3 linked regions of the Arabidopsis thaliana genome follow. The protein of the gene in region 2 interacts with the protein of the main gene of each other region in a pairwise test. Each region holds a gene or a part of one and is shown on either strand. Other genes may lie near its edges.

Region 1 (8,459 bases), on a different chromosome or scaffold from region 2:
AAGGTTCTTCTTTCGGCTTGTTCTAGTGAAGAGCAAGTGGAACAAGTTACTTCAGTGCTTAGAACAATGCACAAGGGCGTGACTGTGAGTTCTCTTGTCCCAAAGCTGATGGCTAAATCTTTAACTGTAAACTGATAAAGATAGCATTTTTAGATCTGCCTTATTAATAAAGGTTGGATTTTTATGATCAGAATCCTTGTATCTATTGAACAGTGTTATAATATATGGTTTTATGTCATTACCCACGATGTTGCTTTAGTGGGGTAGTTGATGCGAAATTGGTCTACGAGCAAATGATTTCAGAAAGTGACATTTTTTATAAGCAAAAAAAAAAGCAAATCCACCAAACCCTTTGTCGTAAGAATATAATAATAAGCCGTTCGGTGAGTGCACTCTTTCTCTCTCACTGTTGTTGTTGTGTATCTGTGCGAGATCTCTCCAACGAAAAAATGGCTTGTAGACTCTTTTGGGCTTCTAGGGTTGCTTCTCATCTAAGGATCTCCGTTGCTCAACGAGGGTTTTCTTCCGGTGAATCTCAATCTCCTTTCTCTTTGTTTGATCTCCTCTGTTGATTACTCTGCGTTTTTGATCTGAGATTGTTCTATTTGAACTTATTGGTTTTTGGTTTGTTCTCGACTTCTGATCGGATTAAAGCGTTTGCTTTTTGCTGGATTGATTGTCTCTGGATATCGCTATTAGCTAATATTTCTCCTTTTCGTATCAAATCCCAGAAATTGCATATGATTTCTCGAGTCTCTCTGTTAATAATGATAATCTTCTTACAAGTGTTCAGAAACTTGGAGGTAGTGAGTGATATGTTCATGTTATACGCATTATTCTCTAAAGTTTTATTCTTGAAGTAGTTTTGGGGAAGATTTTGAAAATCTGTTGTTTTGGGCCTGAAACATGTTGTTTACAGAGAAGGAAGATCTTCAAGAAGTTTTAGGAATGTTGATTATTTTGCCATTTAACCTTACTGATTATATTCTCTTTTGTTGTTGTTGTTGGCATGTGTATTATAGTGGTTTTGAAGGATTTGAAATATGCTGATTCACATGAATGGGTGAAGATTGACGGGAATAAAGCAACCTTTGGTATAACGGATCACGCGCAGGACCATTTAGGAGATGTGGTCTATGTGGAGTTACCTGATGTAGGACATTCGGTGTCACAAGGGAAGAGTTTTGGAGCAGTTGAAAGTGTGAAAGCAACTAGCGATATCAATTCTCCAGTCTCGGGTAAGGTGGTTGAAGTCAATGAGGAGCTGACCGAGTCCCCTGGATTGGTGAGTACTCATCTCAGACTCAGAATCATATTACCATTGACTCCATGTGTTGAACCAAAAAGAACTTCATTGGCATGATCAAATCCGAAATCTTAGTTTTGCGGGTGTCATTTTCATGTGATCTAACAAATTCATTCCTCGGGTAACATTCTTTGCATAAATACTTGATTATTCAACAGCTGTTAAAATGTAAGTGTCTTCAAGATTCGTAGGTCTAGATCAAATTATTTACATAAGTGAGTGTTGGAAAGTTTTAGGCTTTTAGCTGATGTGAAACTCTTGATCTTTGAGAACCAATATAGATTTGATTTATCAATAGCTTGCTTAAATATCGTTAACTTGGAGATTCTTGATTTTGTGGTCTCGAGCTGAGAGATTCTTTTGTTGGAATTCACAGGTGAACTCTAGCCCGTATGAACAAGGATGGATCATAAAAGTTGAGCTGAGTGATGCAGGCGAGGCAGAGAAGCTGATGGATTCAGACAAGTACTCTAAGTTCTGCGAAGAAGAAGACGCCAAGCACTGAGCTTTTTCTATTTTTTCCAGCATCCTTCTCCAAGCTTCCACCGCAACACAGATTGTTGTTTTCTCAATCGAGGATCAAAACGAGATTTCTCCATCTTTGTCCCTTGGACTGAAAATTCCCATCTCTCGTTCTCCTTTTTTCTTTTCATGTTTTTCTTTTAATGAAATGAAATTGTTTGAATAATGGTAGAGAATAATGAGCTTTGGCGTTGAAATTGATTGGATCTTTCATGGAGTTATGCCTTTTTCTTCTTAACTGCAAAAAGTTTCGGACAGTACATCTTCGTGGACCGAAAACCATAACCCTTAGCGGGTTGAACTAGTGCTTAGTGCTTAGCAAGCTCCAACTCCTTTGGAGGGACCAAATCAAATGCTACTGGACCACCATCCATCTATTTATAAACAATTGTACACCGGATTGGTAATGTTCATACTATATAAGATAACATGTTGACAAGAAAAATGCTTCTCTTCAGATGGACCTTACCTCCGTAGGTCTAGGCACGGCAGCAACTACACTTGTAGACTCTTGAATTAATTTGGAGTTCAGTAAAATAACTGCCCAGTCCTGAGATGAAGAAATTGGAATCCAAGATAATAGCCGAGTACAAAGAAGAAGCTAATGGAAGATTCATGCGAATAAAGAATATAGGTTCGGTCATATTGTAGCAACCGTGTGAAAACCGTTTTTTTGTTATTTTCTGGTTCATAGGGACCTCAAAAGATAATGTGAAAGGAAACAAAATCTGTGATGCAATGATATGTGCACAGAGGGAAAAGATTTTGGAATCATTGTTGCTTATTGTGAAGGCCAAGCTTGTTTAGCCACAGTTGTCCAACAAAGTTACAAGATGTGCCTTGTAATACAATATTCCTGCGTTGTCAACCCTACTTTATTATATGAAGTTGTTTTTGTGTGTCATGGTTTCCACTAATTTACTTATTAATTTGATTGTTTGATTGTTTTCTATTAGTAAAAAAGTAATATCAACATTATGATTAAATTCTCAAATCAAATAATTATGTTGAAAAGATGAAATGCTTGGATAGCACTGAGCTTTGGACACGCAACAAAAAGTGAGGGAGGGGCAAATTCATCATCAGAAACGTCAGAAACATTATTTATTAGTCGAATCATACTAAAGTTTAACACAGTAATTCTAAAATAATTGACAATTATTACACCTAAAAGCTACTCCATATGTAGAGATAATGATAATTATATACTACAAGTTAGTATTTGTCGACGTCAATATTGTTCTCTTGGTTAATTGTTTTTAAATATTAAAAATTACCGGTTAAGGGACTTGTTCTCATTTTGTCAAAGCTTCGAAAACTTACATTTCAACCACCCAACTAGAACGTTTGTTCTTTTTCTAACAGAAATTTTCCTTTTAAATACTAAAAATAGTACTTACTACATAATATACCAAATACTTTTTTCTATTTTAGCTATCCTCATTATTGAAATAGATGTCGTAGATTTGAATTTACCTTCTGTTAATGTACATATGATAAAAGAACATTGGTTTGTTATGCTAAAATCTCAATAGTTGGAGCTAATCCTATAGTTTTGCTAAAAAAAACTTGTAATCCAAATAACTACAATCAAACCAAAACAACACATGATTTGAAATATCATTTTTTCTAGTGAAAAAATGTTGTCTTGCACTGCTCAAATTCAAGTAGACAATTCCGATTCAATATAACTAAAAATCTCATATTTTATTAAAATTTTATAAACAATTTATTTTTTGAAAGGGATAAACACTTTCAGCTGTTCAATTGTTCATAATTTTCTTCTACTTACATTGTTTCGTTTCCTATGGAAATGTTTAGATTTACAGGTAAAAAGTAAAAAATGTGCTTGAGCAAGAAAAGAGTAAAAAAAAATAAAAAAATCTGCATTTTAGTTGAAAACGAAAGAAATTCTACTGACTAATTTTGTCTTAAATGAGAGAGACCCGAATTTAGCAACTCTTTATTTCTCGGCTCACACACTCCGATTAAGCCCGACGCTCTCTCTCCTCTTTGTCGTCGTCATCATCGTCTCCGGAGTAGGTTGCAGAAATTCAGATCTGAACTCTCAGACGAAGCTCCGATCTTACTGAGACATTTTTGCTCGATTTGACTTTCGCCTTTAAAGCTTCTCAGGTAACTTTCAATCTTCACGAGACTCTTGCTTGACTTGGTTTTAGCTCCTTGTTTGGTTGCTGGGAAATTGACGAGGGGATATCTATTCTCACTCGTCACTCGTTGTTGAGTATTACTGGGTTTTTGGAAGATGAATGCAAGAGTAGAGAGCTAAGTAAATTATGTTGGACGAGATTGTGTAACGTGATTTTGAAATACATTTTCCTTTATTGTAGAGATTATTGTACTGAATTAATGGCGAATTCTCGTCAATATTATCCATCTCAAGATGAATCAATGTCCCCGACTTCTGTGAGATCAAGGGAATGGGAAGGTCCTTCCAGATGGACTGAGTACTTGGGACCTGAAATGGCTGCATCAGTGTCTTCTACTAGGAGCTCTAAGCAAATTGATGGACATGTTGGTGGTTCCACAAAGGCTTTGAACATACAATGGGTAGTTCAAATGATTGAGGTTGCTGACGGTCTCATGGCTAAAATGTATAGACTGAATCAAATCTTGGAGTATCCTGATCCTGTTGGCCATGTATTCTCTGAAGCATTTTGGAAAGCGGGTGTCTTCCCTAACCATCCACGGATATGCACTTTGCTCTCTAAAAAGTTCCCTGAGCATTTCAGCAAATTGCAACTTGAACGTGTAAGTCATGAGTTCTTTTTTTATTAGACTTACTGTTTGATTTGTTGATCTGATGGTAAATGAAAAAAGATTTATTCTGCAATACTTATGCAGATTGATAAGTTTTCACTGGATAGCTTGCATGATGGTGCTGAACTTCACTTACAGAGCTTAGAGCCATGGATACAGGTAATAAGAAACTATCTATGTAATATGTTGTTGGGTTTACGTTCTGTTGTTGTGAAACTTGTTGTTCGAGAATGGTGAAGCATCTCGGAAGTCCTACATGCTATATAGTCAATCTTTCTATTAGTTTTCTTTGTGTACCTAGTCAATCTTCAATCTTCAGTCTGCTATATAGTCAATATTCAATCTTCTATTCCATCTCACCATTAGTCAGCTTTATATATCTGGGCATGCATATATGATTTACCTAATACATGGTTTTAACTTTTAAAATGTAAACGAGTAGTTATTTGCTAGCCTTCTTTCCTTAGTTCGTGTGTAGCATTTCAGTAAGGGGTGCCTTCATAGTCCTCTCGTCATGCATTTTTCTTTTCTTGAATCAGCTGCTGCTCGACTTGATGGCATTTCGAGAACAGGCACTGCGGCTTATATTGGACCTAAGCAGCACTGTAATTACCTTGCTGGTGAGTCAAAGTCTCTCATCTGCGGAAAGTATTTACTTGCTCTGGGTTGAAACTTTGAGCTTTCTTTTGAACTCGTACCTTAGGTGGAGGTCATGAAATGTTTTGGTACATTAAGTTATTATTTACTTGTCAAAAATGTCTGTGAGGATGAAGATAAAATTGTTGAGTATTCATGATTAGCTCATAACTTAGTTCAGCTTTTTGCAGCCTCATCAGAACTCACTTATTCTGCATGCATTCATGGATCTCTTTTGTGCATTTGTCCGAGTCAATCTCTTCGCAGAGAAGGTATGCTGAGCTTGTTCCTTTTCTTAGTTCTTTGTTTATTTGGATTGATTACACATGTCATGTGAGACATTACATTATTATCAATATGTAAGAGTGTTTATTTTATCAAAGTAGATTCCTAGGAAAATGTTGTTGCAAGTCTACAACCTTCTGCATGCGCTATCAAGAAATGATCGAGACTGTGACTTTTATCACCGGTATGGATGTTTTTTTCCTTGTAGTATCATTTTTAATTTGTATATAATCAATAGACTCTGATATCATATATTAACACTCCTCGTCTTGCATCCAGCTTGGTGCAATTCATAGACTCTTATGATCCCCCATTGAAAGGCTTACAAGAAGATTTGAATTTTGTCAGCCCAAGGATTGGAGAGGTTAATATTTTATTCAAATCACGGGTATCCTACGAGCTAATATTGCAACTGATACAGCAGTACTAACAACGTTACTATTTTCCTAGGTCCTGGAGGCTGTAGGACCCAGTATTTTTCTATCTGCAGATACGAGGAAGTTGAGAAATGAGGGATTTTTAAGCCCATATCATCCTAGATTCCCAGATATACTTACAAATTCTGCTCATCCCATGGTACGAACGGCTAGATTATTATCAACATAAAAGCTTAGGATTCTCAGAATTAGTAGGATGCTATTGTCTTTCCCTTACAACTCTACTTCGATGTATAGTGCTAATATTAGATAATACACTCTTGGTTCCTACAGAGAGCGCAAGATCTTGCAAATGTTACTTCGTACCGAGAGTGGGTGCTTCTTGGATATCTCGTTTGCCCCGACGAGCTTCTTCGTGTTACTAGCATTGATATCGCCCTGGTATGAATCTGTTTTTCATTTTGTTCTCGATTGTGATCTTGATAAAGAAGTTTTTCCTCCAAGGATTCTATCTTGAAAACTATCTTATCTGGTCAATAATAGGTTCTATAAATTTGTTTCACAAATCAGAAATTTTCTGCCTCTCTCTGCCTTTGTTTGTAAAATGTTAAGTGCTTTCATTTTCAGTGTTTGTTTAACTTAAGATTAGTAATGGAGTTAGGTTTTTGATGCTCAAAACAAATCAAGATTGCGTGTAATTCGTGCTGTCTCTAATACTGTCCTGTTGTATTTCAGGTCGTGCTAAAGGAAAACTTAGTCGTGACGTTATTCCGGGATGAGGTGAGTTTATATCAAATGGTCTGCGAAAAAGAGTTTGGTATTGGAATTAGTTTTGCATCAGCTGACTCTATTAATCTAACTATGCAGTACATTCTGTTGCACGAAGACTACCAGTTGTATGTTTTACCCCGAGTGTTAGAATCAAAGAAGATGGCTAAGTCTGGACGGACTAAACAAAAGGAAGCTGATCTAGAATATAGTGTAGCAAAACAAGTTGAGAAAATGATCAGGTAACTCCAATTTTTAATAGTTCAGTACTTTGTAATCCTCATCTGATACTGGAGAATTTTTGTGACTTTAGCTCTGAATTTATAGATTTACTTTTGTTTGGTCGCTGCTTTCAGTGAGGTGCATGAGCAAGCATTGCAATTATGTGATACCATACACCGAGAAAGGAGAATATTGCTGAAGCAGGAAATAGGGCGGATGGTTTTATTTTTCACTGATCAACCAAGTTTGCTGGCTCCAAACATTCAGGTATCGGTTTAGTCTGTTTCATATTAGGGTTTGAAGCTATTGGTTTGTTTGAGAAGAAAAAACAAATTGCTTCTATAGAATTTAATCTACCAAAAGTGTCAAATGAAAAGTTTTACAAGATTTCTGTGTCAACTACGTATCATTGATGCTCTGCATAGATCTATCCATTATACTCATAAGAGTTCTTCCCTTCCCTAAACTTTCCCAATAATTGATTTATTTACTTTTCTTCCCTTAGATGGTATTCTCTGCGTTGGCTTTGGCCCAATCTGAGGTTCTCTGGTATTTTCAACATGCTGGTATTGCATCCTCAAGATCCAAAGCTGCTCGAGTGATACCAGTAGACATAGTAAGTTGATTGCTTGAACTTTGAAAGCCTCTCAACACTGTAACTTTTGACTTTCAGTGAACTCAAAATTTGGTTATTATTTACTGATTTATCATTCCTTATTTCCTAGGATCCAAATGATCCTACCATTGGCTTCCTGCTCGATGGAATGGACCGTCTCTGCTGTTTAGTGCGCAAGTACATCTCAGGTTTGTTACTTTTAGATATCACATCCTTGAACATTGGTTTTTAAGTATATGAGCTTGAAACTCTGGTGTTGGACCCGTTGCAGCTCATTGATCAGTACCGATGTTCAAAATTTGGTAACCTTAATGGTGTTTGTTATTTGAAATGCAGCTGCTCGAGGTTATGCACTATCATACCTTTCTTCATCTGCTGGAAGGATTCGTTACTTGATGGGTACTCCTGGAATTGTGGCTCTGGACCTTGATCCTACCTTGAAAGGCCTTTTTCAGCGTATTGTGCAACATCTCGAAAGTATACCCAAGGCGCAGGGAGAAAATGTTTCTGCAATCACATGTGACCTATCTGTAAGATGGACTATATCCACTTATTTTCAAGTCAGATGATGCAATTGCATTTTTCTTTCACAGATAATCAATATACACTATATAGTTAATTCACTCATGTTTCCATATGTTTCCCATTTGGCCTGTCTTCAAATCCTAGTTGTAGTCTGGTCCCAACACAATTAATATGTTTAATCTTCCAATCTATTTTCTAATGCTCAGTGCCTCTTGTTGTACAGGATTTCCGGAAAGATTGGTTGTCCATTTTGATGATTGTCACTTCTTCTCGATCATCGATAAACATCAGGCATTTGGAAAAAGCCACTGTCTCTACTGGGAAGGAGGGCTTGCTATCGGAAGGAAATGCTGCATATAACTGGTCCAGGTACTGTTCCCGGCCTTATATACCATTACTTGGTTAACTTCTAGCTAGAGAA
Region 2 (8,169 bases):
TTATTCTACTAAATAATTGGATATATAATGTTGACACATGATATATATAATAGTGGAACCTCCTTATAACCTTGAGGTCGTGGTAGTAAATTCGTAATACCACCAAAATCAAATAAATAAGAATAAATATGTAAAGAAAAAGGAGAATTAAGTAGATGATGGTGAGTATTGGGATTGGAGGGTCAGAGAAGGAAAGGGAAAGAAGAGAAGCAGTTAAGACAGCAACTGAATTGCAGTCAAGCACTGATCCCTATCTTCCAATATTAGTCATATCCCTCTCTCTCTCTCTCTTTCTTTTTCAATAACTCTCTCTCTTCTCTCTATCATCTTCTCCAAGTTGTAGGGTCATTAACCTTCCATTGGTAAATTATTGGTTTTGAAAACATAACTTATTTTTCCTTTTTGGTGGTCCTTTTGATCTTTTCTAAATCATGTGTTTAGATATAGATGGGCACACACTTGTCAAGAAAATTCAAAGATTCGCCATTTTTTTTCCTTTTCAACCAAGATGATCTATAAATTCGTACACCACATCTCTTCTAATAGTTAAAATTTATATTCTCATACTTAAATAAGTCTTTTAGTTCGCGAGATTGGGTTTACAGTTTGTATCAATTAAAAAAATGGTTGGAATTCGAAAGTTATACATTCTCTAAGAACCGTGTTATTGAAAAAAACCTTTATAATTCTCTAAAGATAATTAAATACTAATATTTTGTTATTGCAGTGAGACTCACTGTAAGAGCATGCGATTTTTTGAAAGAAAAAAACTTACAAGGGGCCTATAATGATAAGCGGTTATCTTATCTTACATGTGTGGATTACATTATATATGTATATATATATATATATATCTTAGTTAATTAGAGGAGAATTGTAGTTGCTCAAGAGAATATGTACGTTTTGTAGAATCTTTTAGTGGCAAGAGATAATTTATCTTAAAATGGGATAATATACATGGTCCATATGATTATAAACTTCTTTTTCATCACCGGCATGCTTCAAGTTAAGAGATGAAGAAAAAAAAAAACAGGCCCACTTTATTTCATTTTCACATAATTCACTCACTTAGGCATGCAATTCTTTTTGTTTTATCCTTTTTCTTTTTCAATATTTTTTCTTTTCCCGCAAAAATTATTATGTATGCTACATTTTTTAATCATATTTTATGTAGGCCAGTATAAAAACCGTAATAAAAAAATTTCAAATAAACATTTTACCAATTCTACATTTATATCGACATGGAGATCTATCTGAACCTCATTTCTCAATATAGACTGTATAATATATATACAGTTTTGCTAGATTTTTCACGGTACGAAATAATTTTGTTTTCTAGTTATAGTTAGTTAATTGGAGTTGTTGTAATTTCCATATAGTCTACATGTTTAGTTTGATGTCGATATAAATATTAATGCCTTTTATGTCATTTCTTGAGTGTTGGATACAAATAACGATCATTCTCCTAACTCCAAACAAGTAATTAGGAGATTAGGTTCGAAATATATGTATTAGGAGATTAGTTTAGCACACATCCCTGACGATATATGTATTTGGAAGCTTGTTAGGAACCGACATTCTCATAGCCTATGCTGAGCATCTGACTAACCCAAAATGATGACGACGTGAGATATATTCGTAAGCAAATTATGTGGAGGACCGGGACATAAGCGCACAAAGGGAACACGCTATTGGGCTGTAAAAATAAAGGAGAAAGAGCTCACAAATTTTCTAAAGAAGACAAAATCAATATGAGCCCCCGGCGAGGATCGAACTCGCGGCCTTTCGCTTACGAAGCGAACGCAATACCACTATGCTACGGAGGCATCCGAAATTATAAAGGTATTTTTAATATATAATTCGGTTCGTTTTCCATATTTTCCAACTACTGCGTGACGATAAACTAAAAGCTTAAGTGATGGGTTCAGGGTTCTTCATGTACTGATGTATAAGACTCATAATATTCATGTGCTGATGTTCACATGAAGATAAATATTATGAAAAGAACCTTTGTGACTTCATCACGATATATAAGACTCACATGCAACCAAAGAAAATGATCAAGTTAGAAGAAGACTCACAAATTTCAAAATAATTTTTTACTTTTGCTACGGAGGTCTCTGGAGGCCAGGGAGACACGGTTTCATGAGTCATGATTGTTATCTTTTCAAAAATATAGATATTATTAATATGTTATTATTTTCTCCTATAGTGTTACCGGCTATAAAATAAAAAACTTGAGAGTTCAGACGTATTAGAATGTGTGATTTCCATCATCCAGACATAATCTGTTCACCATGTTTGCTGATTTGAATTTCAATATTCGTAATTATAAATACATAAATTTTTTAAGAAGATTAACCTTGTAACTATTTGTTTATATGTCTATGTCCATGTAAAGTATCATATTGTCAACTAAATAAAGATGAAACACAGAAAAGTGAATGTTGTAATGCTATTATTGTATAATTGTAGTTTTTGAGTACAACATTTAGCAAATCAACTTTATTTTTGTTAAAAGACTTATATATATATATATATATATATATATATATATATATTAAAATTCTATTTTCTAACAACTTTTAAACAATGATTTCTTATGAAAGAAGGAAAATGTGGCATGTATGGAATTTTTGGCAAGCAGTAATCTCTGGTATGTAAATATGCCTTGCAACAATAAGGACTAATCACCCATCGCCTATTAGATACGGATTGAGTAGTTTCTATAACGCATATTGGAAATTTCATCACAGATGAATAACATTTGAATATACGAGAAAATACTGGAAAACTATTAAGTAACGGATATGGATCAGTAAAAATAGACGAAAATGGTGGCCTTGCATTTACGGAGACTATAATGCATATGACCATTAAAAGTGAAATCACATTTTTAATAGACATACTGAGATATTGAGAAAAAATAAAGAAAAAAAACTTTGTTAGTATAACAAAATATATGTTTAGTAGTTGATTGATGAACAACAATAAAATCCTTGCCTATTTAAATGGAAGGGAACAAAACTATGGTATTAATTATCTTGATTAACGTCTTTGAACTCTTTTAATAGCACTTATTAATTAGCAGTTTATAAAATTGAATAGTGTTAAAACTTCTAGAAACGAACAACATTTAAGTAACAAATATAGGAATATGTTAATTCTATGAGGACTCTATGTATTAATTAAATTAAAAAAAAAATGAATAATAAAATTATAACATGATTATTATTAGAGTAGGTGGAGGTGCGGGGAATCGAACCCCGTGCCTCTCGCATGCGAAGCGAGCGCTCTACCATATGAGCTACACCCCCATTTTGAGTAAAAATGAAACAGATACATAATAAATTCAAATTAAACAATCAAAAGGGGCTTAAGCAAATCAAGGCCCGAAACGAAGCCCAATTACTCAAGATGTTCCTAAATCCTGAACTAGGGTTTTATTCTATTTCCCTTTCTCACTAACTCTCTAGTTACCAATTTTCTCTCACTAAATCAGAAATGCCGCCGTCGTTACCGTCTCTGCAACTCCGACGGCTTCTCCTCCGTAGCTTCATTTCCTCCTCCTCCGTCAATACTCTTCAATCTCAGCCCCGTATCATTTCTTCCAAGCCGTTGTTTTCTCCTCTTCCCCCTTCCCGTTCCTCTATATTCTCAACATTTCCTTCTAGATTCTTCTCATCTGAAACGAATGCGGAATCGGAATCTTTGGATTCGAATGAGATCGCTCTCTCTTTCTCGAAGGAGCTCACCGGGAATCCAGACGCCGAGTCTCAAACCATTTCGCAGAGATTCAATCTCAGCTTCTCCCACATCACGCCTAATCCCGATTTGATTCTCCAAACTCTTAATCTCTCACCGGAAGCTGGTCGCGCGGCTCTAGGTTTTAACGAGTGGTTAGATTCGAACTCTAACTTCTCTCACACCGATGAAACAGTTTCGTTTTTCGTCGATTACTTTGGCCGTCGGAAAGATTTCAAAGGAATGCTAGAGATCATCTCGAAATACAAAGGTATCGCCGGAGGTAAAACACTAGAATCGGCGATTGATAGGCTTGTTAGAGCTGGTAGACCTAAGCAGGTCACTGATTTCTTCGAGAAAATGGAGAATGATTATGGTTTGAAACGTGATAAAGAATCACTTACCTTGGTTGTGAAGAAGCTTTGTGAGAAAGGACACGCGAGTATCGCAGAGAAGATGGTGAAGAACACTGCTAATGAAATATTTCCTGATGAGAATATATGTGATTTGTTGATTAGTGGATGGTGTATTGCTGAGAAACTCGATGAAGCAACTAGGTTAGCTGGTGAAATGTCTAGAGGAGGATTTGAGATAGGAACCAAAGCGTATAACATGATGCTTGATTGTGTTTGTAAGCTTTGTAGGAAGAAAGATCCTTTTAAGCTTCAACCTGAAGTAGAGAAGGTTTTGCTGGAGATGGAGTTTCGTGGTGTACCTAGAAACACAGAGACTTTCAATGTGTTGATTAACAATCTTTGTAAAATCAGGAGAACTGAAGAAGCAATGACATTGTTTGGTAGGATGGGTGAATGGGGTTGTCAACCAGATGCTGAGACTTATCTTGTTCTGATTAGGAGTTTGTATCAAGCAGCGAGGATCGGTGAAGGGGACGAAATGATCGATAAGATGAAATCAGCGGGATATGGTGAGCTTTTGAATAAGAAAGAGTATTACGGGTTTCTCAAGATATTGTGTGGGATTGAGAGGCTTGAGCATGCGATGAGTGTGTTTAAGAGCATGAAAGCTAATGGATGCAAACCTGGGATCAAGACTTATGATTTGTTGATGGGGAAAATGTGTGCGAATAACCAGCTGACTAGAGCTAATGGTTTGTATAAAGAAGCGGCTAAGAAAGGAATCGCTGTTAGCCCTAAGGAATACAGAGTAGATCCACGGTTTATGAAAAAGAAGACCAAGGAAGTGGATAGCAATGTTAAGAAGAGGGAGACTTTGCCTGAGAAAACCGCGAGGAAGAAGAAACGGCTCAAGCAGATCAATATGAGTTTTGTTAAGAAACCGCACAATAAGATGAGACGGAGAATGTGATGCTGATGAATCTTCAACATCTGATAGAATTTTCTAAAGATTATTGTCTTTGTTCTTTCCTTTTTAAGATATTGTCAAGAGTACTCATCATTTTGCTTGATCATGAGCAAATTGTCCCAATAATCTTTTGTTTTGTCTCAGTGTAACGTTTACTAAGAGTTCATGCTTGGCTCAAGAATCGGAGGTAAAATTAGGTTTCTTGGTTAATTGAATGCTTCTCTTGTACATCCAAGTTGAGTTTAATTATAACGGATCAAGTCAGCTAATCTTTGTTAATTATCTAATATATTAAAGTTAAAACAAGATCCCGTGTATAAAGGCATATCAACGTGCAAATGTATACTAGTCAAAGTCGTCGCCTTGATCTATATTCTTACAAAGTCTCTCTCTGTCTCTGTTCACATCGGAACCACAAGAATGGAGTCTCTCTTCTCCACGATGATTGTCCTGCTCTTGGTTTCTTTTTCCTGTCTCATTTCTACAGGTAAATTTCCTTGTACACAATCACCTGCATTTGTCTTTTCTAAAACTTCAAAAGTCTTTTATGTTCTTTAATCTGCAGAAGCTCTCACCAGCAACTATGGAAACATCACAGTCAAATGGGATCTCTTGAACTGGACGCCTGATGGCTACGTTGTAAGTTCTTCTTCTTCGTGTCTCACAAAATCTCAGAGTCTGCTTTAACTTCAAAATTGACTCTATCTCAGGCAGTGGTTACAGCCTACAATTACCAGAAGCAACGTTCGATTCCAGGATGGAAAATGAGCTGGAGAGGGACCAAGAAAGAAGTGATCTGGAACATGTTGGGTGCAAAAACGACAGGGCAAGGAGGTTGTTCCATGTTCAAAGGAAATATCCCGCAGTCCTGCGTTCGTAAGCCAACAGTTGTCGATTTGCTTCCCGGAACTCCTTTCAATCAGCAGATCGCTAATTGCTGCAAAAGCGGTGTCTTAAAACCTGGTTCAGAAAGTGCATTCCAGTTATCTGTTGGTAGCGCTGGTAACTCGGTTAAGACTGCTCGGATGCCGGCAAACTTCATGTTCACGGCACCTAAACAACAGTACATATGTGGACCGAGTAAGAACGTTAGACCAACGAGGTTTACAACCGCCGACAAAAGGAGAATAACTGCAGCCCTAAGTAAGTTTCACAACAAAAACAAACCTCGACAAATCTGTAATTCTGATTTTGAGACTCACCTGCTTCTTTTTTTGTTCTTATGCAGTGACCTGGAACATTACTTGCGTCTTCCACAAAGCAACATGAACAACGCAACTCTCCAAAGGAACATTATCATAAGCAAATCTTTCTCCAGAGTTTATATGGATTTGTATTATCATGTATGGTTTATGTTTTAAGAAAATAAAATACACTATTTTAATTATTTTCTTCCATAGTGTGTTACCGGCTACAAAATCAAAGACTTGAGTGGTCAGACGTATTAGAATGTGTGATTTCCATGATCAAGACATATTCTATTCACCATGTTTGCTGATTTGAATTTTCAAATGTTCGTAATTATAAATACATAATTCTTTTTAAAGATTAAACCTGTAACTATATGTTTATATGTCTTGCAAAGCGTGGATGCTTTCAGTAAAGTTTATTAACTAAAGAAAGATGAAACATTGAAAAGTAAATGTTGAAGTGCTATTATTTGTATCATTGTAGTTTTTGAGTACAACATTTACCAAATCAACTTTATTTAAAATATAATAACTTTAATTAAAATATAATAACTTTATTTTTGTTAAAAGATTCACATATATATAGATATATTAAAATTTTACTTGCGAACAACTTTTTTACAATGATTTCTTATGAAAGAAGGAAATTTTGGCATGTAGGGAATTTTTGGCAAGCAGTAATCTTTGGTATGTAAATATGCCTTGCAACAATAAGGACTGATTTCCCATCGCTTATTACGTACGGATTCAGTAGTTTGTATAACGCATATTGGAAATTTCATCACAGATGAATAACATCTGAATACATGAAAAAATCCTGGTAAACTATTAAGGTACGGATATGGATCAGTAAAAATAGACGAAAAAAGTGGTCTTGCATTTACGGAGACTATGATGCATATGACCATTAAAAATGAAATCACATTTTTAGTAGACATACTGAGATATTGAGAAGAAGCAAAGAAAGAAAACTTTGTTTAGTATAGCAAAATATATGTTTAATGGTTGATTTATGAACATCAATAAGATACTTGCCTATTTAAATGGAAAGGAACAAAACTATAGTATTAATTATCTTGATTAACGTCTTTGGATTCTTTTAATAAACATTTATTAATTAGCCGTTTATAAATTTGAATAGAGTTGAAACTCCCAAGAGTAAAACGAACAACATTTAAGTAAGAAATACAGTAATATGCATTAATTTTATGAAGACTCTATGCACTAATTTTTTTTGTTTTGAATGCAAAATAAAATAAAAACTCGATTTAGTAAAGAAGATGGAGGTGCGGGATATCGAACCCCGTTCCTCCCGCATGCGAAGCTCAGTAGGTTTATAACCTCCGACAGAAGGAGAGTGACTACAGCCCTGAGTAAGTTTCACAACAGAAACAAACCTCAACAAATCTGTAATTCTGGTTTTGAAGCTCACCTGCTTTGATTTCGTTCTTTTGCAGTGACCTGGAAGATTACTTGCGTCTTCTACAAAGCAACATGAACAACGGATTTTTTTTTTTTTTCATGTATGGTTTATGTTTTAAGAGAATAAAATACACTACTTTGATTGATTGGATTCTCATCTAAACGGATTCCTTCCAGAACCGAATTGATCTATCTATTCCACAAGTAACAAAGACTGATTCAACCGGCGAGTGCTCGATCCACCGTGGTGCACCGTTATGGTTAGAAGGCCACTTTGCCACTTTATCTGCGGTTCTAGCATCCCATGTAACGACCTCATTGCTTGCTTCATCTATGGAGATTACAAACTCTTCAGTGTCGTTAAAAATTGCCTGCAAAACACAACAGTGAAGGCCAGTTAGAATTAGTCGACGAAGTGAATATTTTTGTCTCAAAAGGTTGAGAAAACGAGTCACCTGAGACCGCAGTTTTACCCGCTTTGCTCCAAGAT
Region 3 (7,825 bases), on a different chromosome or scaffold from region 2:
GAGCCATTTGGTAGAAGAGCTTCCCTTTTGGCTTGATGATCTTCTCAATGAGCAGCCGGAAAGCCCTGCTCGAAAATGTGGTCATCGGCGTTCATCAAGTGACTCTTACGCTTATCTAGATGTGGCTAATGCTACAAACATAAGTTTGACTCTCCAAAATGATTTCAGTTATAGGAATACTGTTTTATCCACTCAAAGAGGAGTCCAAGAGCTTGACCGGAATAAAAATGCTCAGGATGCTGCCTTCTACTCTGGTGCTAGTTTTCTGAAACAGAAGAGTCGTCAGCGGGATTCTTTGGTGGCAACTGGGGCTTGTCCTTCTTGGTTACCTTTCGCTCGTGAGAACGGTGGCGGAAAAAACTTGGGAGCTTTATATATGTCTCAAGATGCAACAGTAATATCGTCAGAAAGAAAGAACTATGCTGAACCTTTTTCTCATGACCCAAAGATGTTATCTTCTGAGGAAAACAACTCCAATCCTTCGCCTGTGACTTATGAAGCTGACAACACAAAACGAGCCAAACAGTTTGTGATCTCTTTACTCGTTCTTGATTGATGTACCTATTCAAAGCAATATAGAATGATCAGTACTCATTTAGTTTGCTGCTCCCTGCAGGCAATTTGCACAAAGATCACGGGTCCGTAAGCTCCAGTACATATCTGAGCTAGAAAGAAATGTACAGACATTGCAGGTAAGGCTCAAAAAAACTTGCATTCAAAGAGAGAGTAAGTGAAAGATGTAGTAGATTACAATTTGTGCAGCACTGAAGTATGGATTTTATTTTGTGACTATAGGCAGAAGGCTCCAAAGTTTCAGCTGAACTTGATTTTCTCAACCAGAGGAATCTTATTCTGAGTATGGAAAATAAAGCTCTCAAGAAGCGTCTCGAAAGTATAGCTCAGGAGAAGCTTATCAAACAATGTAAGTTTCTCGCAGTTTCTTTTAGGTTCTTAAGGTTCAAACTATAGTCTAGAGTATGAGTTTGTAAGTATTAGCTAGTTATCAAGATTCAACAGTTCTTAAGATTGTATACCTCATGAGTTCTGTCTATTATCCAGTGGAACAAGAAGTGTTGGAAAAGGAGATTGGGAGACTACGAGCGTTGTATCAGCAACAACAACAAACTCAAAAACCATCAGCCAGTCGCGGACGTGCTACTAGCAAAGATCTCGACTCTCAGTTCTCCAGTCTTTCACTGAACACCAAAGATTCCAACTGTAGGCGTGACTCTGTATCTGTGATGGGTCAATTCCACTTTTAGTAAATGTCTCTCTACCCACTGGTTCATTAGAGATCTTAAGGGCCTGGCGACTCAACAAGATCAGACCCTTATCTACCGCCTCACCACAGACGTTTTTAACTCCCCCGTCGTTTCTTTTTTTTTCTTTTCTTATGGTTGACAAGTTAACTCACCAGTGCACCTGGAAATCCTATATTACTTCCAGGAGATGGCTTGCCTGAGGTGGTTTAGTTCGAAGATCAGACACCTGGACTTCATTTATCTGGTGATTGTTGTAGCGACTTGTGTAATATATGGGACGAATATATTCGAACCCGGACTCATCTCTGGAGTTGTACTATGATACCCACTGTTGTATTTTATGTTACTTGTAAAATGGTGCATTCCCTTCGAGTGAATGCTTCATGTAAAGTTGTTGCCATTTTCTGTAGTACTATCCCCAAGCGTCAAAATATTTGATTGCCTCAGATCTGCACTTAATTTATATGCACATTTACAGCTATTTCATTGCTCTTTGTCAAGCCTCTTGAAGGGCCTATATCAACTCAATTGTTATCAGAAAGTAAACTGGTTAGCATTGTTGTCGTTTGGTTTTAGAGGAAACTGAAACGGCTACATTAGAAATGTTTTTGGTAGGCGTGGGCAAAATACCCGAACCCGAAGAACCGAACCGAACCTGACCCTAAAAACCCGATCTGAATTCAAACCCAAAATTTTAAAATACCTAATCAGATCCTAAACTACAAAACCCGAATCCGATCAAGTTTCTGAACATATCTGAAATATATATACATAAAAATAATTTATTAGTAATAATCATATTTACAACAACTATTAAGTGCATAAAATATTAGATTTTGTATATATTTTGGATATTTTACCTACTTTTCGATAGATTCGGATAGAAAATACTCAAGTTTTTTGGAATTTTTTTTGTGTATTTTCAAGTAATTTAAATATATTTTGATACAAAATTTTGAGTTTTGGATATTCCGGATGAACTCGAATCCAAACCAAAAAAACCCGATCTGAATCTGAAATCTTAAAATAACTGAACCGTAAACCCAAAAAGACCCAAATACCCCAACGCCTTACCATATTAAATTAGGAGGAAACCCGTTCATAAATAATTTTTCGGGTTTGGGCCACAACAGACCGGCCCATTTCAACCGGTTCATAAATTCTAAATACTAGAAAATTCCAAATTAGATAAGTTTTTGTCCATCCTTTCTTTGGGATTCTTGACGAGTAACGTTTGATGTCTTTCTTAATTTGGTTGAATGATCAAATTTGTGATCCAAATTCTTACAAACTGATATGTTAATGAATCTATAACCAAAATAACGTCTAAAACAAAAAGCTGTAACGATTTGAAAGTGCATTTTTTCCCAAAACTATATAACTAATTAAAGAATTTAGTGTCATTTATCTAATGGATATACTTTTAACAAAATCTTATAAAACTAAAAATATTTAAGACAAAAGTGAAATGGAGATACGGAGGTGGATTGTAATGAGCTGTCCCCACCTGCAAAAATACGCACGCTTCACTGTCTGAAAGATGCTTATCTCTCTCTTTCTAACTTTCTTAATCCACAAATCTTTTTTAAACCTTTTTTTATTGGTGCTCTAAAATTGGTAAACAATAATGTTGTGATGAAAATAATGTAATTGAAAAATAACATAACTCATATTTGGGTAGAATTTTGATAAAAAAGACTTAAAATAATTGTGAAAAGTTATTTTTCTCCCCTAATTACTTTTTGATTTATATAATAACTAATCAAAAATCAATAAACGTTTTATTTAATGTTAATGACGGCATATATATTATTTATTTTAATAATAATATCCTCTTGCTGGAAAAGTCATCCACCTGCTTTTACATCATCAAACCTTTTTTTCTCTCATCTCTCTCTCTCTCTTCTCGAGACAAAGAAGAAGACAAGAGTCAAACTTGAAGGCGACAATCGGAGCTTCCATGGCCGTTTCTTCCTCTTTCACCAAACCCTAATTTCAATTTCATCTTCTTTTCCCTTCTTTCTCACCGGAAAATGGATCTCTCCGACATCCGAAACAACAACAACGACACCGCCGCCGTCGCCACCGGAGGAGGAGCAAGACAGCTAGTTGACGCATCTCTCTCAATCGTTCCCAGATCTACACCTCCCGAAGACTCAACACTCGCAACAACCTCATCTACGGCAACGGCGACTACAACGAAGCGGTCGACTAAAGACCGTCACACGAAAGTCGACGGAAGAGGACGTCGGATTCGTATGCCGGCGCTATGTGCAGCTAGAGTTTTTCAGTTAACGAGAGAGTTAGGTCATAAATCCGATGGTGAAACTATTGAATGGCTTCTTCAACAAGCTGAGCCAGCTATTGTTGCTGCTACAGGTACAGGAACTATTCCGGCGAACTTCTCTACTTTAAGTGTTTCGTTACGAAGTAGTGGATCGACTCTCTCTGCTCCGCCGTCGAAATCGGTGCCGCTTTACGGTGCTCTTGGATTGACTCATCATCAGTATGATGAACAAGGAGGCGGCGGTGTGTTTGCTGCTCATACGTCGCCGCTTTTAGGGTTTCATCATCAGCTTCAACACCACCAGAACCAGAATCAGAATCAAGATCCGGTGGAAACTATTCCTGAAGGTGAGAATTTCTCTAGGAAACGGTATAGATCGGTTGATTTGTCTAAAGAAAACGATGATCGGAAACAGAACGAGAATAAATCTTTGAAAGAAAGTGAAACGTCGGGTCCTACGGCGGCGCCGATGTGGGCGGTTGCGCCGCCGAGTAGGTCTGGTGCTGGGAACACTTTTTGGATGCTTCCGGTACCGACAACGGCCGGTAATCAAATGGAGAGTAGTAGCAACAATAACACCGCCGCAGGCCACCGTGCTCCTCCTATGTGGCCATTTGTGAACTCTGCTGGAGGAGGAGCGGGAGGTGGAGGCGGAGCAGCGACTCACTTTATGGCGGGAACGGGGTTTAGTTTTCCGATGGATCAGTACAGAGGAAGTCCACTTCAGTTAGGTTCTTTTTTAGCTCAGCCGCAGCCGACTCAGAACTTAGGACTAAGTATGCCGGACTCGAATCTCGGGATGTTAGCCGCTTTGAACTCGGCTTATTCAAGAGGCGGAAACGCAAACGCGAATGCGGAACAAGCGAACAATGCGGTGGAGCATCAAGAGAAGCAGCAACAGAGTGATCATGATGATGATAGTAGAGAGGAGAACTCAAATAGCTCTGAGTGAGTGATGTAAACTAATCTTGTGAAATCATTGAATGTGGTAAGAAATTGATTTAAAGCGTTTGTAGCGGTTTGGTTGATTGTTTTATTGTGAGATTTTGTGTGTTGTTGTTTAGTAGTGTTTAGACAAGAACAATTTATGTGTGAAGGAATTGTTAGGTTTGGGTCCAAATGGACTCTCATGGGTAGAGAATGTTTTCAATGTATAGAAGGAATGATAGTCTTTTCGATTTTTCAGTTTTCATTGTTGAGTTTCTTATATTTTTGTAGGATAAAATTGCATTCAAACCAAAAGAATAAAAATTGCATAATTAATCGCAATTAATAAGTTCCAGTGAAAGAGTTGGTGACAGATCTCACTTCTTTTCTGTATGCTACTTTTGTTTGATTTCTTTTTCGATCGAGCAAGGTCTTCTGCAACTGTTCTTTTTTCTGGCACAAGGATTTTCAAGGCACTAGTATGTATATAATATAAGACACACTGTTCTTTACTTGGAAAAAATTGAGTTTGGATACTTACATGATAGATATTCTAATAACATGCCTAGATGGTTTAAGCAAGCTAGGTTGTATACATCTACTCATTAATGTTTATTTTCAATACTCAGTGTCACTGGGCTTCCGTTCTCTTATTAATTTCAATGGAGTGCTAAAACTAACTTTGGGGAAATAGATAGTTGTTTGGTTCAAATATTTTGTACACATGATATTATTCTAAGACAACATACACGCACTAAGTTAGTTTTCTGTTTTTGTCCTAGTCCGCGCTAACATTTTGGCTTATGTTATAACTTCCTTGGTTACAGTATTCTCCTAATTTGAGCGATAGGTTATAGTGTATATAAACAGGAATCACTGATAGAGAAAGGACGTCGTATATCTTCCCATGCTCACAAATTAGATTATCAATTAACCGAATTAGGCCGAACAAATTGTGGAAATCAATCCTGTAAAAGCTTTATTAAATAATATCTAAATAATACGAAAGCAACAATGAATTTAAAACTTGTAAAAGTTCTTCTTGTTCAGTACTAGCTTCAGCGAAAGTCTCTCAACTCTCAAGGAATGGTGATCAAACTGGGAACATAGACAGAGGATTGAAACTCACATAGCACTTGATCTATCTTAATCTTTTTGCACAAATCTCCCCTCACAATATACACCCAAGCTGCTTTAGGTCTCTTGCTAGGACAACACAGAACAAAGCTCTTCCCATGGATATCATTATCGACAAAGTAACTTGTAGAGATGTAACTAAGTAATATGGGGAAGTCAGGTCTTGAGACTGTCATGAACTTAATCCACACCACATCGTCTCCATCATCCCCGTTACCAATTTGATCCTTTGTCACCCAAATCTCAATCTCCCTTGTTTTTTTGGATTGTTCTAACACTGAAAACCGATCTCCCTTGTAAATCGAGAGGATACGAGTATGTGTAGTACTTTTTTCCCCCTTACACGGTAAAACACAAAAGGTCTTTCGACTCTTTTCTATCTCTTTCGAAAAATCGAGCATTGCGATGAAATACTGACCAGTGTGGGGAGAATTATAAGCTGTCCAGTACAAATTTCCATTCAGGGAGACCCTACCGGAGTCGTCCATTAATTCTGGCTTTTCGTGAAAACGGGTATGATCAGTAACCTTCCACGCATTGGTTGCAAATTCGAAGACTGAATATGTATCAGTAACTTTACCCTGCCAAGAACAACTACTCCTTCCGATAATCTTGTAACTCTTTTCGGGTCTACTACCATCGTAACCAATGGCCTTGCCACATGTATTCTCAGCCTTGGCAATCCATTTAGTCTGTCTCCAAAACAACGGGTTCCAAACAACGCCTCCGCCTCCATTAAGAAAGCTATACATGAAGAAGTTACCATCGCAGATCCCATACAGATGATAACCGCGGCAACTTAAATGATCAAAGCGTAAATCACGCACCTTTATAGTTGGATTTTCGTCTTTGAGATCGACGCTTATCGAATAAATATGTGAATGTGTATTTAACATGATTTCTGGCCGACCGCAAGCAAAGTTTTTGTTGATGAATCTCTTATTCTTGAAAAGAGTGTTCCATTCTCTGCAAACGGATCTGAAGCGAACGAGAGATCGAGGTGGAACTCGAAAGAGTATCTCTTCTTCCAGATCTAATGGAAGCTTTTTCGACACCATTAGGGTTTTCTTTTTTTTGGTTGGAACCATTAGGGTTTTCTTTGAAAATGAAGCAATGGAAGAAAATATATTTACATAGATAGAGTAACAATTATTTCATTTTCGTAATATGTTATATAAAGAATATTTGAGAATAATATATAATTGGCTCGTCTACCAAACGGCCGGCCAATTTAAACCGCAAGGTAAGGTTCCGTTATTTGCTTCCTATATTTGAAGCCCTCTACTCGTGTCTCGTGATTCCTAATAGACATACAATTATAATCCATAACTAATGATGTCATATATATGTTCTTTTAGCGATGAGCTTAATTACTAAATCGAATTTGGTTGTTTAGACTTTAGAGTATATATAAGGAACGATGTGGAATTCTCTTGGGGTTAAGATGCAAATTGCTCGTGTCTTGTAGTATTCACTGTTGATTGTGTAATTAAACAATAAATTTATACTAAAGGATTTAGACAAATTCACTTTTCTCTTAGCTCGCGAATGATCAAAAGAAAAGAACAAGGTTACTTGGGTAAAAAGTTAGGGTTTGCTCTGTAAAGAGTGATCTCTTGTATAAGGTTAAAGATGGTCGTAATGGAGGATAAAACTCCTCTATTTATACAATAAACTGGTCATGTCAAAATATGATAAACTTCTAATTATCTAAGACCTAAATCTTCATTACTTCTATTCTTCATAAAATTATCTTCTCTCGAAATGGAAGTCTTCTCTTTCCGAGGTTCAAGAAGTCGGCTGGGCGATCTCAGCTGTCGAATTAGGTATTTTGGCGAACTCATTACTTAGGCCCATTAACAGGCTAACCGGGGTACCCCGGTTAAATTGAATTCTCGATTTTATTCACATTCTCCCCCGGTTTAAACCGATATTGTCGGAGGTGTCAATTCCTGCACCAACATTCACCTAGCTCTCATTATTCATATGAATTTGTGATTCTTCATCAACGCAAAATCTGATATATGTGTTGCATGTATTGATTGATAAGCTTGTGTCCTATAGAACTCTCTAGTATCCTCCTGTTGATGATGTACGAATCACACAAGTATGTTTTGTTCAGTTGAATTGTTTGACTTTACTCGATCTCTATATTGTTTCTTCTCGCTCGGAAATCATGACCAACGAAAACGGTACAACAACTACTGTCGTT

The links.
Region 1: the proteins of PNM1 (region 2) and GRL interact in a two-hybrid assay, tested with the Arabidopsis thaliana proteins (one study listed by BioGRID).
Region 3: the proteins of PNM1 (region 2) and TCP8 interact in binary tests that used the Arabidopsis thaliana proteins (3 or more experiments, as listed by UniProt).

What each region holds. Positions count from the first base shown.
Region 1 is NC_003071.7:14,799,265-14,807,723, reverse strand, and holds the start of GRL (transcription activator), read left to right. Parts: upstream 1-3,873; 5' UTR 3,874-3,964; intron 3,965-4,179; 5' UTR 4,180-4,198; coding exon 4,199-4,600; intron 4,601-4,693; coding exon 4,694-4,768; intron 4,769-5,148; coding exon 5,149-5,229; intron 5,230-5,436; coding exon 5,437-5,517; intron 5,518-5,631; coding exon 5,632-5,714; intron 5,715-5,809; coding exon 5,810-5,894; intron 5,895-5,980; coding exon 5,981-6,106; intron 6,107-6,240; coding exon 6,241-6,348; intron 6,349-6,642; coding exon 6,643-6,917; intron 6,918-7,031; coding exon 7,032-7,164; intron 7,165-7,402; coding exon 7,403-7,513; intron 7,514-7,622; coding exon 7,623-7,701; intron 7,702-7,849; coding exon 7,850-8,043; intron 8,044-8,261; coding exon 8,262-8,407; intron 8,408-8,459. Other genes in the region: AT2G35130 (Tetratricopeptide repeat (TPR)-like superfamily protein), read left to right, coding at 1-135; AT2G35120 (Single hybrid motif superfamily protein), read left to right, coding at 450-528, 1,023-1,285, 1,683-1,811. UniProt on the Arabidopsis thaliana protein: Involved in regulation of actin and microtubule organization. Part of a WAVE complex that activates the Arp2/3 complex.
Region 2 is NC_003076.8:24,525,324-24,533,492, reverse strand, and holds PNM1 (Pentatricopeptide repeat (PPR) superfamily protein), read left to right. Parts: upstream 1-3,460; 5' UTR 3,461-3,504; coding exon 3,505-5,070; 3' UTR 5,071-5,404; downstream 5,405-8,169. Other genes in the region: AT5G60964 (ECA1 gametogenesis related family protein), read right to left, coding at 2,569-2,907; COBL5 (COBRA-like protein 5 precursor), read left to right, coding at 5,488-5,554, 5,633-5,706, 5,778-6,210, 6,296-6,336; AT5G60945 (ECA1 gametogenesis related family protein), read right to left, coding at 6,857-7,195; AT5G60940 (Transducin/WD40 repeat-like superfamily protein), read right to left, coding at 7,838-8,050, 8,135-8,169. UniProt on the Arabidopsis thaliana protein: RNA-binding protein that functions in both mitochondrion and nucleus. In mitochondrion, it is associated with polysomes and may play a role in translation. Required during embryogenesis.
Region 3 is NC_003070.9:21,509,356-21,517,180, reverse strand, and holds TCP8 (TCP family transcription factor), read left to right. Parts: upstream 1-2,991; 5' UTR 2,992-3,295; coding exon 3,296-4,501; 3' UTR 4,502-4,849; downstream 4,850-7,825. Other genes in the region: AT1G58110 (Basic-leucine zipper (bZIP) transcription factor family protein), read left to right, coding at 1-525, 617-692, 796-922, 1,060-1,262; AT1G58090 (F-box and associated interaction domains-containing protein), read right to left, coding at 5,556-6,671. UniProt on the Arabidopsis thaliana protein: Can specifically bind site II elements in the promoter region of PP438/PNM1.